2 separate regions of the Mus musculus genome follow, and region 2 is reported to be linked to region 1. The links are microRNA targets in miRTarBase. Many come from high-throughput screens and were not tested one by one. Region 1 holds a microRNA gene; the other region holds the end of a gene's coding sequence.
Evidence for each region. The annotated mature microRNA mmu-miR-7212-3p reads UAACACACACGUCUCCAGGUC and lies in region 1 at 3,652-3,672, opposite strand. An mRNA with a match to its seed (bases 2 to 7 or 8) in the 3' UTR can be bound and repressed. Matches are read on the target gene's strand: a 7mer-m8 pairs with bases 2 to 8, a 7mer-A1 pairs with bases 2 to 7 and ends in A, and an 8mer does both.

Region 1 (6,808 bases):
CAATCCCCTTTCTCTCTAATGTCATGTAACTGTTATACATTGGATACACAGCTTTCATTCACCCTCTTCCAGCTAGAACATGGTCATATAACTGTAAGACAGTCTAAGAAAGAGTTCACTTGTTAGTGACCATGTTCCAGCTGAAACCAGGATTCTACTGCCAAAGGAAGAAAGGGAAGTTAGTTATTTGGGAAGAATGGGCAGAACGTACCCCAACCACGCTCGTTTGAATCTCTTATTTCAGTTTTTATAACTTATAATTAAGCCTCACAGTTAGCAGCTCAGTCACAAAGAGATGTGTGGATAATAAATACCGCTAATTCAGAAGCCGAGCACCTCTAACGGTGGAAGCAGTTACATATTAGAGCAGTAGCGGGCAAACAATGGATATATTTAAATAAAAGCATAATAGCGATCCAATAAAACATGACTTACAAAAACAGGCAACACAATAGATTTGTCCCACAAACCACAGTGGCCTGCTAGCTCAGGTTGTCATGGGCTTCAGAAACATGGTTTGAATGTAGTGACACTCACTGACGAACCCAGCAACCAAACCAGGAACCAGGAAGATACCTGCTACAAGGGCAGCCTTCCTATTTATTGAGACTGTACTAAAAACTACATTAGCATTCTGTATCTATTGCTTCTTGTCCCCACAACCTCTGACTGGCTGAGGGAAATACCCCGTTTTCCAGAAGATAAGCAGACACAGGGGAGAAAAGCAGCAGCGCCCAGATCAGACCCCACCCCTTGCTGCTCTCCAAGCCCTCTCCCTTCCAGGCCAAAGAATGTTTACCAGAAGTCAGCTGTGACTCACTACATTGGGGATATAGAACCTGAAGAGGCCACCTCCTGTAGCCAGGCAGGAACCCCAGCGGAGCCAGAGGGACACCAACTAACCAACAAAACTTTCGACCCAAAATTTATCCTGTTTACAAGAAATGCAGAGGTAGGGGATGGGGGATGGAGCAGAGACTGAGGGAATGGCCAACTAATAACCGACCCAACTTGAGACCCATCCAATGGGCGAGCACCAGTCCCTGACACTTAATGACACTCTGTTATGCTTGCAGACAAGGGTCTAACATGGCTGTCCTCTGAAACGCTCCACCCAGCCGGCTGACTCAGACAGATGCAGATACCTACAGCCAAACAGTGGGTGGAGCTTGGGGACTCTTATGCAAGAAAAGGAAGAAGGACTGTGGGTCACAAAGGGGATAGGAACTCCATAGGAAGACTAACAGAGTCAAGTAGTGTGGACCCTTGAGGCTCTCAGAGTGTGAACCACCAACCAAAAATATATATGGGCTGGACCTAGGCTTCCCCGCATGTACACAGCAGATGTGCAGCTTGGCCTTTATGTGGGTCCTAAAAACTCAAGCGGGAACTATCCCCAAAACTGTTGTCTATCCGTGGGGTTTGTTCTTCTAGCTGGGCTGCCTTGTCTGGCCTCAGTGGGAGAGGACATGCCTAGCCTCACAGATTCGATGTGCCAGGGAAAGGGGATACCCAGGAAGACCATCCCCCTCAGGCTCAGAGGAGAAGGAGGGATGGAAAGAACGATTGTGAGGAGGGAGTAACCTGGAGGGGGGCAGTGAGCAGGATATAAAGTGAATAAGTGAAAAAATAAATAAAATAAGTAAGTAAATAAATAAATAAGCAAACTATCCTGCAGTGCACGGTAAGTAAAATGCATGCACATGAACTATTGTATCACGAGCAAAGCAGCCCTGTCAGGCTTGCTGTGAAACACACCGCGAAGGCAAAGCTCAAAACAGTCCTGTCCTGGAGGTTTATCCCGGCTTTAGCAAGGAGACACCTAACCTTCGGCTTTGCCTGCATACCAACTGCCAAGGTCTAAAACTCTGGAACCCCTGTAACTAATGAGGGGCTGTGAAGGTGAGGGCGCCATCACAGTCACTGAAAAGTTGCCAGGTCTCCCAAAGTTGAGAGAGGCGGAAGAAGGCATCAATTAATCGTCATCCCTCTCGATCTTGCTCTGGGGCAAACATGTTCCCTTGCTTCCCACACGCGGCTGGCTATGTTAATGTGTCACAGCACGCTCTCCAGACTTCATGATCCTCATCAGAGCCACACACACCTCTTCCAGATTATTAAGAGTTGGCACAGGGGGGTAACCGGGAAGTGGGATATCATTTGAGATGTAAACGAGTGGAATGACCAATTATATATATGATAATTTTTAAAGGGGGACTGGCACAGGGAAAAGAAGCAATGCACCATCAAACCACGGGAAACTCAAGACACAAAAGCTCCCTATCCTGTCTTTCCCCTCTCTTGTGACAAAGGAAAGAGCAGTTCTTTCCCTTCCTTGTCAGGGCCAATGTTTATTGTGTCTGAGACAAGCTGGAAAGCAAATCTATTATTTCTATGTCTATAGTTTCTCCGAATGTGTGTTCATTTTACAATGAAATACACATCTCGGAGCCTTTCTTAGCACACACAGGTAAGTTCCTAGAAGCAGGTTTCCCACTATCTCAGAAGGAAAGCAGTAGGGCTGCTTAGAACCTGTTCTGTTTACCCAGCTATGGAGGGAACCGCATCCTCCACGGTAAGTGGTCTGGCTACCCCAGAACTACCGAACGTACGCTGTAGAATCCTATCCTTGTGCAGCCTTCTCAGCGCAGGTGACACCTGCCTTTTCTAAGAACATACGTATATTTTTAATCCCCTCTCCTTACCTAAGGGTGGAGTCTATGTGTTTTATGACATAATTTTAAGATGCACCGCGGAAAGATGGGTTTGTTTTCAAACTGAAACACTTAGTTCAACTAGCTCAGAGGGAAATGTCACGTCTGAGTCAGGAATCTTTGCATGTGGTTGCCTCTGCTCTGTTTACACAGCTAGCAAGGGGCACCATCGTCACCATCACCATCACCATCACATGATCTTGTTAACACCATTGTGTGGGGGAGTGTGCCCAGTGCTGGGTGCACCAGTCTCCACCCCTGAAACACTTGCACGCTGAGGACGGGCATGCAGAAAACCTTCACGACTCGCTGTTGCCAGGCAGAAGGAACATTCTCGGCTTTGCTTCTCTCCATCACCTCTTTCCATATTAGGCACAACTGCAGCCCTCTCTCGATCCCTCCCTTCCTCCCTCCCTGGGCAAAGAATCTGCTGCAGTCCGGTGATGCCTCTCTGAGACACTACTACAGGCCACGGTGCCAAATCCTTAATAGCCCTGGCTGTGTTTACCCAGGAAGCGAAGATTATGCACAGAGCATGCCAACGAGACACAAATAAGGCTGAAGGAGAAGAGAGGATCTGGATGATTCTCGGAGCCTCCTTTTAAGGTCGTCTCATCTGTATCCCTAAGGAGAACGCTAATTGATCCAGAGAAGCAAAGCCGTGTAGCGCTGCCTTCCTAGTCACCGTGTCCCTTATGTGTATCTCCAGAGACAGCTGGGACATTCCTGCCCTCTGGTTTCCTAATTTCAGCATCAGAACACTCTGTGACCTAGATGTACGATGGGATTGCTACATCCAGGGTTTGCCCCTTGCCTTTCTCAGTCTGGGATTCTGAGGCAGCAGCTGTCTGGGAAGGGAGGTCACTGAAGACAGGCGTGGAGCATGGAAAGGCTAGAGGGAGGACGGAGGAGTGAGTGCGAGGCTGTGAAACAAAGTGACCTGGAGACGTGTGTGTTAGGGTCTCGCTCAGATTCCCCCTACCACACAAGCCCCCAGATGACATCATTCCCATCCAGATCAAAAGGCCCCAGGACAATATTCCCTCAGGAAGTCATTTTTATTTTTTCCTCTTCCATTTTCTGGTGGCATCACAAATAGTTGCTGAAGGGGAAAAAAAAGGTCATGCGCAGTGTTTAAAGACTCAGTAATTTTCCCTCTGAATCCTCTCTCGGACTGGGTCTTGTTATATAGAGAGAATTTAGGCTGCAGCAGGGCCATCCAAACACAGAGAAACTAAAACATCTGGATTTCAGTTGAAAGAGAAGTTTGGTGGCTGAAGGAAATACCAATTTTCAAAATAACCTCTCCTCCCTGGACGTTGGCCCTCTAGTTTTTCAAACACACACAAAAAGGAGAAATTAGGGCACTGTATTTGAATCCCAGACCCTTAACTGGTCTGTAGGACAGAAAGCAGCCCTTTCATTCTCCAGTCTTAAGTTCAAATATCATGTGACTAAACATTTAACGTTCTCTGTCTGCATGTGTGTTCAACTTGTGCACACCCCATATGAGACTCCTAGGCACAAGATTCGTATTTGTGTAGCACACAAACTGGCTTCCTGTCACCCAGCACATGCGTACCAAAGCAGGGGAAGCTGCCTGGAGTGTGAGCGCCACCCAGGCTCTTGCAGCTTAGTGCCTTGGGACATAACCGCAAACCCACGGTTGGAGGATACCCCCTGAGAGCCTGAGGCTGAAGGACTGAAAGGGAAGGGCAATGGTGATATGTGAAGAATGTTCAGAGGTGAATTCCAGCATCCTCCTTACGGCTAGAAGGAACACGTGATGTTCCAGAGAGAACTTTGGTGTCTTTGGGGGAAACTAGAACCAATATTTGTGGACAGGAAGAGATGGTTGTATGTTTATTCACTCACGAAAACCTTTAAACCTCTTGATCTAGAAATAGGAATGAGAAAGTCCACAGTGCCAATAAGATGAAACCACACCAATGTATAAGAGGAATGTGCAAGTTCTGACCCTGAACCTCTGTGGGGAGCCATGGCCTCACAAGGTAGGTTGTTTGGATGCAATTAGAAAGTACTTATAGACATCCTGGACTCCCCTTGAGAATCCACAAGTACCATTAGTCCTTCAAGCCCACAAGGTCCATCTCCAAGAACACAATGAATTCAGACTGACCATATTCAGGGGAGAAGGCTATGCCTGACTTGACTTTGTACAGAACCGATTTCATCTCGCAGAATGAAGGTGAGAGGCCTTGGAGGTCCTCCCTTGTAGATACTGAGAGATAGCTATACTTTTCACTCACTGAAGCCTGTGACAACACTCACACAAACATGACTCCAATCCTAGAAAAGGTCAACAAGGCAAGCTAACCACATAGTCTGCCGTCCCATCCGAAACAGGGAGAACAAATACACCATCCAGAATAGACCCTCCAGGAACCCTTTCCAGAGTTGTTTGGGAAATCTGGAGACCAGGTGACTCTGCACCCCTCCCACACAACTGAGCTGCCATCTAGGGAGGTGTGGATTCTCTTGCTCTGTCTGGCCACTGGGGTGTGCACAAGGGTCCGGTCGCACGGATTGAGTCTGGACTCAGACGTGACCTATTTAGTATTGCTTAAGGATGTGTATCACTAACATTCTTTACTGCTTCTGAGAACTTGACAATGGGCCCTTCATACCACTGGGACAGGCATCAAGATCAACAACTAATAAGTAGAGCCTCATGAAGCGGAAAACCTATAAGGCAAAGGACAGTGTCATCTGAATGAAGCAGCCACCTGCAGAATGGGAAAAAAAAACCTTTTCACCAGCTTCATATCCAAAGAGGACAATATACAAAATATATAAAGAACTGAAGAAACTAGGCACCAAAGTTTTAATAATCCCATTAAAAATGGGGCACAGATCTAAGCATAGAACTCCCAACAGAGGAAACTGAAATGGCCGAGAAACACTTTGAGACCTTCTTAGTAAAGGGCGGAATGTTTGCCCCCTCCCCTCCAATTGGGACTCTTGAGCCACTCAACTAACATGAGGTTCTGAGAATGACATTGCTTGAGTTTTTTGGCTCAACCCTTAAGGAAATGGCAGCTCCTACTTCCAACTATTCAATATCAGTCCCTCTTTAGGAAAAAAAAAAAACCCATAGCCCATGCCCCAATTCATCAACAGCACAATTAATTTCAATAATGGTTGGTAGATGAGGGCAAATCCAGTGGATGCGATATTCTGGTGGACTTTTTAAAACATCTTCAAATTGAATACCATTAGAAAGTACTTATAGGTGACAACCGATATAGAAATATACATATATGTGTACATGTATGTGTATGTATGCATACCATATGCTTATCATAACTCTGTCAAGAGCATTCATCAAACTATAGTATAGCTGCCATGTTTTTAGGATACTGAGATCAGAGCTACTAAGGCAGATCTTTTCTGCCTTATTCTTTCTTTTCTGCAATAACAGTCTCATCTCCCTAAATAGCTAAAGAATCCTTTGGTGGAACATCTTCAGTTGGAAGAACTCTTTTTAAAGAATCCTGATGGTAAAGACTGTCCCTCAATATCTGTGCCCCACCCCCCAATGTTCTGCATGACCCAGATAAACACATCATAAAGAAGTGAGGACCTGAAATGTCTTCTGATGCCAATTGGCCATAAAGTGTCAAAAGGGAGGCAAGCCCACTCAGTTAGGACTTTGCTCTGTCAGTCAGCAGGGATAGATCTGCCCACAGCCTGCCACACATACCCTGTGGCCCTTTGGTGTTGTAAACTAGAGGCTGTCATCATATTTTAGTGACGGCAGCAATACAGATCAGCTTCACGCGGGGCGGGGGAATGTCAGGAATCTACTGAGGCGAGGCAGGGCTTCGGAAGGAGGTTGCCCATTCAGTGGTGGCTAAGATATCACCCGCAAAACAAACTCTCCTGCAGTAAGGACAGATTGTATTGTTCCGCATGTTCTTAATCAGGTTCAAATATTAGCCCAGCTGGGTCAAAGTAGGATTTCAAGAGTGATAAATATTTTCCATGGTTGTGGGAAAGAATGGAGAGAGATAAATGATTAATTCCTTCAACCAAACTCCATTAACATCTGTGATGGCTTCAGGATACAGAGA
Region 2 (6,808 bases), not on the chromosome of region 1:
CGTGTGGCACTGCCCACATCCAGGGTGGGCCTTCCCACCTGAGTCAGACCTTCCCAGAAAGCAGCACCCTCACGGACATGCCCAGAGGTTAGTTTCCATGGTGATTCAATCCAATCTAGTTGACAATGAAGACTGATTATCAGAGTCTTGGTTATTCGATGGTAAGAAAATTAATAATAATTAGCCATGTCGGGGCTGGTGAGATGGCTCAGTAGGTAAGAGCACCCGACTGCTCTTCCGAAGGTCAGGAGTTCAAATCCCAGCAACCACATGGTGGCTCACAACCATCCGTAACGAGATCTGACTCCCTCTTCTGGAGTGTCTGAGGGCAGCTACAATGTACTTACATATAATAAATAAATAAATCTTTAAAAAATAATAATAATAATTAGCCATGTCACAGGATCGCTGAGAAGAATATAAGTGAAAATGCTGCATGTAAAGTGCTTGGCCCAGGCCTGGCTTATAGTTTAGTTGGTTTTAACAACCAGTAACAAATTTTATTTATAAAACTCTCCGGGGAGTCTGGCTGAAGAGATGATGACTCAGTAGTTAAGATCATTGGCTCCTCCTCCAGAGTCCAAGTCCCAGGACTCAGGTCTGGGGGCTCACTGCAGTTCTAGGGGATCTAACGCCCTCTTCTGCGCACCATGAGCATGGGGCACAAGCGTGCTGCACAGGCAGACACGCAGGCAAAACGCTCACAGGCATAAAATAAAATTTTTAATTAAAAAAATATCTTCTGCCGGGCGTGGTGGCGCACGCCTTTAATCCCAGCACTTGGGAGGCAGAGGCAGGTGGATTTCTGAGTTCGAGGCCAGCCTGGTCTACAAAGTGAGTTCCAGGACAGCCAGGGCTATACAGAGAAACCCTGTCTCAAAACAAACAAACAAACAAACAAAAATATCTTCTGTGAATGAGAAGAATGTGCTGCAGAAGTAGTAAAGAAAGATTTCTTCAGACGTTTTGAAAGATGGTAAAGAGGACTATTGGAGGGGAAAGAAACTGGGCTCAGCTCCCAAGTACATGAACAAGTGGAGACTTTGAGCCAGGAGCAGAATGGAAAAAAAAAATTCTAAGCTAATTTTTGTTTTGTTTTGTTTTGTTTTGTTTTGAGACAGGGTTTCTCTGTATAGCCCTGGCTATCCTGGAATCACTTTGTAGACCAGGCTGGCCTCAAACTCAGAAATCCGCCTGCCTCTGCCTTCTAAGCTAATTTCAAAGCTAGGCTAGAGTAATTCTTAGTAGACGTATACTAAGTAGGATTCTTGCTAAAGGCAGGCAGGGTAATGAGCTAGAAAGTAAAAAAAAAAGAAAGAAAGAAAAAAAAAATACCCCCTTTGAGTTAGTGTCTCCTGAGGCCAAGGAGCCTCAAATTGCTACATAGCCAAGGATGACCTCGGCAGTGCCTTCCTCCTGTCTCTGCCTCCAAGGGCTAGGATTAGGAGTATGCTCCACACCCGGCTTGCTCAGTTCCGAGGATCAAAGGCAGAGCTTTGTGCTGATCAGCAAGCACCCTGCCGGCTGAGCCACCCGCCCAGCCCAAAGTGATGAACTGGCTCCAGTACTGAAGGGGATGAAAGAGTGAGAGCTAAACAGACACTGGAGAGTTCCAGCTCACACCACAAAGCCAGGGCAGAACTCAAGGCCAAGACAAGGACTCAGAGCACTCCCACCCACATTTTGGTCCTGGTCCAAATCTAAAGAAAATCTCCTCAGAATTACAGCTACTCAGAGTACGGGGCATTTTCCACCTGAGAGGCTAAAGGATGTCAGCTGCAGCACATAGCAGGAGAGTGGAGGTGTCATGTCATGTCCTTAGCATAAAAAACCGTCAAGGTTTTCGTCTCTAGGACCTCTGGTAGAAACCCTAAGTCAGGGCTGGGGTAGACAGCTCGATTACAGGAGGAGGAGACCGTCCAGTGTACACGAAACTCTGTGATCCTCAGCACCACAGAGAAAAGAAAGCTTTGATCTGATTGTACACGGGCCATACAAAGCCAGTGTTGTGTGATTCTAACCTGCTTAAGCCTGTGTTGCTTTAACATGCACTCCCTGTGGAGTGGAGGGACAGAGTGCTCCCTCTGCTCCTCCCCTGCCGCTCCGTCGCTCTGAGGGTGGGCGAGCACTCAGTCAGGACTGTGCTTGATGGCATGTGTGCATTAGGGTAACGAAGAAGCTGGACACCTATCAGGAGTACAAGGATGCTGCGTCCGCCTACCAGGAAGCCTGGGGTGCCCTCCGCAGGATACAGCCGTTTGCGTCCTGGATCAGAAACCCACCCGACTACCACCAATTTAAATGAACTCTTGCTGGTATCAGGACCCTTCGTATCGGTCTGCCTCTCCCTTCATGCTGAACGAACCTCTGCTTTTCTGGTGGTTAAATCCCAGGAGAATGAGCTGCCTTCTCCCAGAGCGCTCGCTGCACCTCTCTGGTGTCATAAATGGACCGCAGAACCTCAGCAATCTATACTTGACTGGAGCAGCTCCGTGCTAAAATAGCCTCTCAGTAATGCTCTTGATGGCTGCCTTCAATTGTGTTTTATTGGTTCTTTAAAATACAGCATCAGATGCTTTTAAAGTAGCCTGCAGCAGCTCTGGTGTAGATCTCCTTACATTGATTCAGCAAGGACGCATTGGGCTGAAATCATCTTAGGGTGCTGGAAGCTTTATAGCCTCTCCCGGACTCATGAAAACCATGTATTTCCTGTTTGCAGCCTTCCTTTGTAACCATCATCACTTCCCAGTCCTCAGCAACTAGACATGGTTGGAGTTAGCTTTACCATCAGGCTCAGCACAGGACTAGCCTCGGAAAGCTCTGTTCTCAGACTTACCAAGAAAGGTTGGTTGGTTTGGGTTTGGGTTTGGGTTTTGGTTTTGAGACAGTCTCACTTTGAAGCCACCATCATTCCCCACCCCTCTTTCTCTTTCTCTCCTTTCCCTTTCCCCCTTCCCCTCCCCCTCCCTTCTACCTTTTGCTTGAGACCGGATCCCTCTCTCTATAGCCCAGCCTGGCCTTGAACTCAACATGAAGCCAAGGGTGACCTTGAACTCTGATCTTCCCACCTCTGCCTCTAAGTGTCACCTCAAACTTTGCTTCCTGGATTCTCTTCTGAGCAATGTCATGAGGTCCACTATAGTCTTGTAACTGCCAGTAGCCACCGTCTTTTCCTACCACACAGAGACAGCCAGCCAAGAATGAAGGCTCCAGCCTGCACAAAACCACATGAGGCAAATGCCTGGTTTGATTGTCTTTAGTGTCTTTATCTGTGTGGGCCACACTGTCGAGGTGTGTGTGTGTGGGCCACACTGTCACGGTGGGGGGGGGGGCACACTGTCACGGTGTGTGTGTGGCAGTAAGCAGCTGTATCAGCTGAGCAATCTTACCAGGTTCCTGTTCTGACTAAATTGTTTTCTTTTTAACTCAGTTCCCAAATGCCTTAATTTCCTACAACAAATCAGCAAACGACGTAGCAGCTAACCCTGTTTAACTGTCACCTAGGAGAGAGCACTCAGCTTATTCCCACCTGGAAGCAGAAGCTCTGCTTGCTACTCAATGTCACTGTGGTTTATAGTGTTTTGTTTTGTTTTGCTTTGCTTTGCTTTGCTTTGCTTTGTTTTTCCACACAGGGTTTCTCTGTGTAGCTCTGGCTATCCTGGAACTCACTTTGTAGACCGGGCTGGCCTCAAATGCAGAGATCTGCCTGCCTCTGCCTCCTGAGTGCTGAGATTAAAGTTGTGTGCCACCATGCAGTGTTCTTTTATGAGATTTTTATATTATAAAGACTTGAATTAAATGTGAAGTAGTAACATTTTTTAATTACTTATTTCACATCCTGACTGCACTTTCCCCTCCCCTCTCCTCCTAGTCCTTCCTCCCCCACCTCACCTTCCCCTACCCCCATCCACTCCTCCATTTCTCTTCAGAAAAGGGCAGGCCTCCAGTGGATATCAACCAACCATGGCCTAGCAAGTTGCAGTAAGACTAGACAAGGCAACCCAAACCCAGTAGGAAGAAAGGGTCTCAAAGAGTAATATATTTTTACTCCTAAAGTTATAATCTGTCAAGTTTACTCACACCCTTAGTCACTGGCATCTGGGTAGAAAACACTGAAGGCTAACCACTAAAGGCAACTTCCCTTGAGCTTCACTTACTGTCTCAAAGCGCTAAAGGTGGTATTTAAACATCCAACAGCCTGCATCCTAGTTTATGCTCTTAAAACCCAAGTTTACACTGGGGGGTTGGGGTGCATGCCTCTAATGCCAACACTTGGAGTTCCATGTCAGCCAAAGCTGTCTGTCAGAGACAGAGAAACCCTGTCTCATAAAGCCCCAAAAAAGAAAAGTTTAGAATTGTATGTATGCCTTAACATCACATCTCTGTAATCCTGGCAAGTGCTTGCTTGCTTGCTTGCTTGGTCTCAGACTGTGTCTTCTGAAACCTAGGCTGCCCTGGAACTCCTTATCTTCCTAAAATCCCAAGCCAGAAAGCAGCCCTCTCCATAAGTTATCCCACGTATCCTGTTTATCCTCAGTCAGGCAACATTGTCCAGTGTGAGCCTTGGGCCAAACCCATGAAGACCTCTAGAGAAAAGGTGGCTCTGATTATCATTTGACCTGTGTCCCTCCTGTGTCCTCTCTGGGCCCTGGCTGCAGCAAACCTGGTTTCTTTGGTAAAATCAGAGAATATGAGGACATTCATGCGTGTCCCCACTCCCCATCCATCCACTCCACTGGTGCCCATAGACCACCACCAGGAACAGGACGGCCAGCAGGACCCTTTGCCCCATCTCATCAGAGAAACTAGGAAGGGCCTTCCATATGGTAGGCAAATGCTCCAGCCCAACCACCAGTGCTACCCCACCCAGGGGTCTTTTTTAATTAATGTGAAGGATTTTATATTTTAAACTGTAGAAAAACTAGAAGCCCCTCAGAAATGAAGCTGCACAGGAATTGGAACAGCAACTCTAACCCATGCGTAATTCCACAAAATTGTGTCTTCAACTAAAAAAAAAAAAGGCAAATTTGGCTCTGGAGGAAAGATTACATTTACGTGTGTGCCTAAATAGGGTCTAATGTTATGACTCTGCGTGTGTGTGTGTGTGTGTGTGTGTGTGTGTGTGTGAGAGAGAGAGAGAGAGAGAGAGAGAGAGAGAGAGAGAGAGAGAGTTTTCCTCAGAATTTTCAGAACCTAATCTGATTCAGCCGTGTCTGCCACCACCTGTGTGCGCACATAGTTCTTCTTCAGGATGGAGGGATGCCACGTCAAATGCCATGCTTTATGGATTCCCCAGTGCCAGGCATGAGCTCACTGAGGAAGTTGCTGTGGAGAAGAAGGGGCTGCCCTGGTTGCCAGCTGGAGAGGTGCAGGCCCCCTGTCTGACCTGCTTGTGTCTGTGGCTGCTGGAAAGCTGCCTCCACCCAGACCTAGAACAAGGTTCCTAAGCCAGAGTTTTCCAGTTTCTAAACAACAGCCATCCTGCCACCAATAAAACCAGAACTTGTGTATCGTGTCTGTGTGTGTGTGTGTGTGTGTGTGTGTGTGTGTGTGTGTGTGTGTGTGTGTGTGTGTGTGTGTGTGTGTGTGTTTGTTCAGGAGCCCAAGCAAACCTTCCCAAAGGCACTGAGCTGGCTAACCAAAGGGAGTGGCTAGATTCAGAAAGAGCCAGGCAGGCTCCGGATGTACAGCCACACCATCCTGACTGTGCCTGAGCTCAGAGCCAGGGAGGCCGAGGTCGAGGAGAGAAAGTATTTTCTGAGCAGAATAGTTCATTGTATACCTCATTTTGCAGAATCATAGTTGCCTTGACTTTACACACAAATCTTTTTAAAAACATTAAAAAAAAAAAAAAAAAAAAAAAAAGCAAGCTAGGCAGTGTTGGTGCGTGCCTTCAATTCCAGCTGATAAAAGTTGAAGGCCAGCCTGGTCTACAGAGCTAGTTCCAGGACATTCAGGGCTACCTTCTATCCTGAGAAACAAAAGCAAAACCAAAAAACCGAAATTAAAACTAGCTGTGTCTGTAACTGAACCAGCCTGTTTCCCTGTAAAGCCATCCAAGTAGATCCCAAATGATTTTCAGGTGGTCCTGTAGCCCAAAGGACAGAGAGAAATGAGTCAGAGACGCTTCAGAGCTGGAGTAGGCAGCCTTTTTAGTCAGTATTTATTTAGACTGGGGACAGTGGGTGGGAGGCAGCACTTGGTAATGCGTGCAAGTTGCTACTTTCAGTCTCCTGCACTAGGAAAAACAAAACCACACGTTGCTTGGTTGGTAGTGTTTGTTTGTTTGGTGATGTTTTGGGAGGAGGCCCCCCGCTGGCCTCTAACTCTGTGATGTTCCCATCCTAGTTTCCCCAAACTGCTGTTACAGATGGGTGCTACCATGCCTGGCCAACAGTCAGGGTTTTACTTAGGGTATTAAATAGAGGAATGCAGATCTTGTGGAAGTTTATGAAGGTCTACAGTTTTCTGTGCTCCTTTTTTTTTTGTTGTTTTTTTAAATGTAATTATACCTCAATTTAGAATGTGTTAGAAAAAAAGTCCTTATTACTTGGAATCAGAATAAATTTGAGTACAGCCATGGATGCAAATGACATGATAGTACCAACTCTGCCACCAACAACCAGCTGTATGCTGGGAAGGCATTTAACCTTTGACTTGTGACCTCCATTCTGTTCTACAAAAGCAAGTACCAGCAACTAGGCTGCGCAAGTGTTTTCAAGTGTAGGGTAGGCTTTCTCATTTTTTTAAAAAGTTGTGTGCTGCGAATCAAACTCAGCATCTTTCCGCATGCTAAGCAAGCACTTGG

Region 2: the mRNA of Adat1 is a reported target of mmu-miR-7212-3p. The part of its 3' UTR that is shown has no 7-base or 8-base seed match.

Annotation. Positions count from the first base shown.
Region 1 is chr15:25,945,131-25,951,938 of GRCm38, reverse strand. It overlaps Mir7212 (microRNA 7212), which reads right to left and starts at 3,712; the gene lies at 3,652-3,712. The region is part of intron 3 of Retreg1 (reticulophagy regulator 1); the gene reads right to left.
Region 2 is chr8:111,963,903-111,970,710 of GRCm38, reverse strand. It overlaps Adat1 (adenosine deaminase, tRNA-specific 1), which reads left to right. Exons shown (of 10, transcript NM_013925.5): 10 at 2,167-3,813. The coding sequence ends at 2,305. Among named protein-coding and RNA genes, the nearest start is that of Adat1, 25 kb to the left of the region's middle.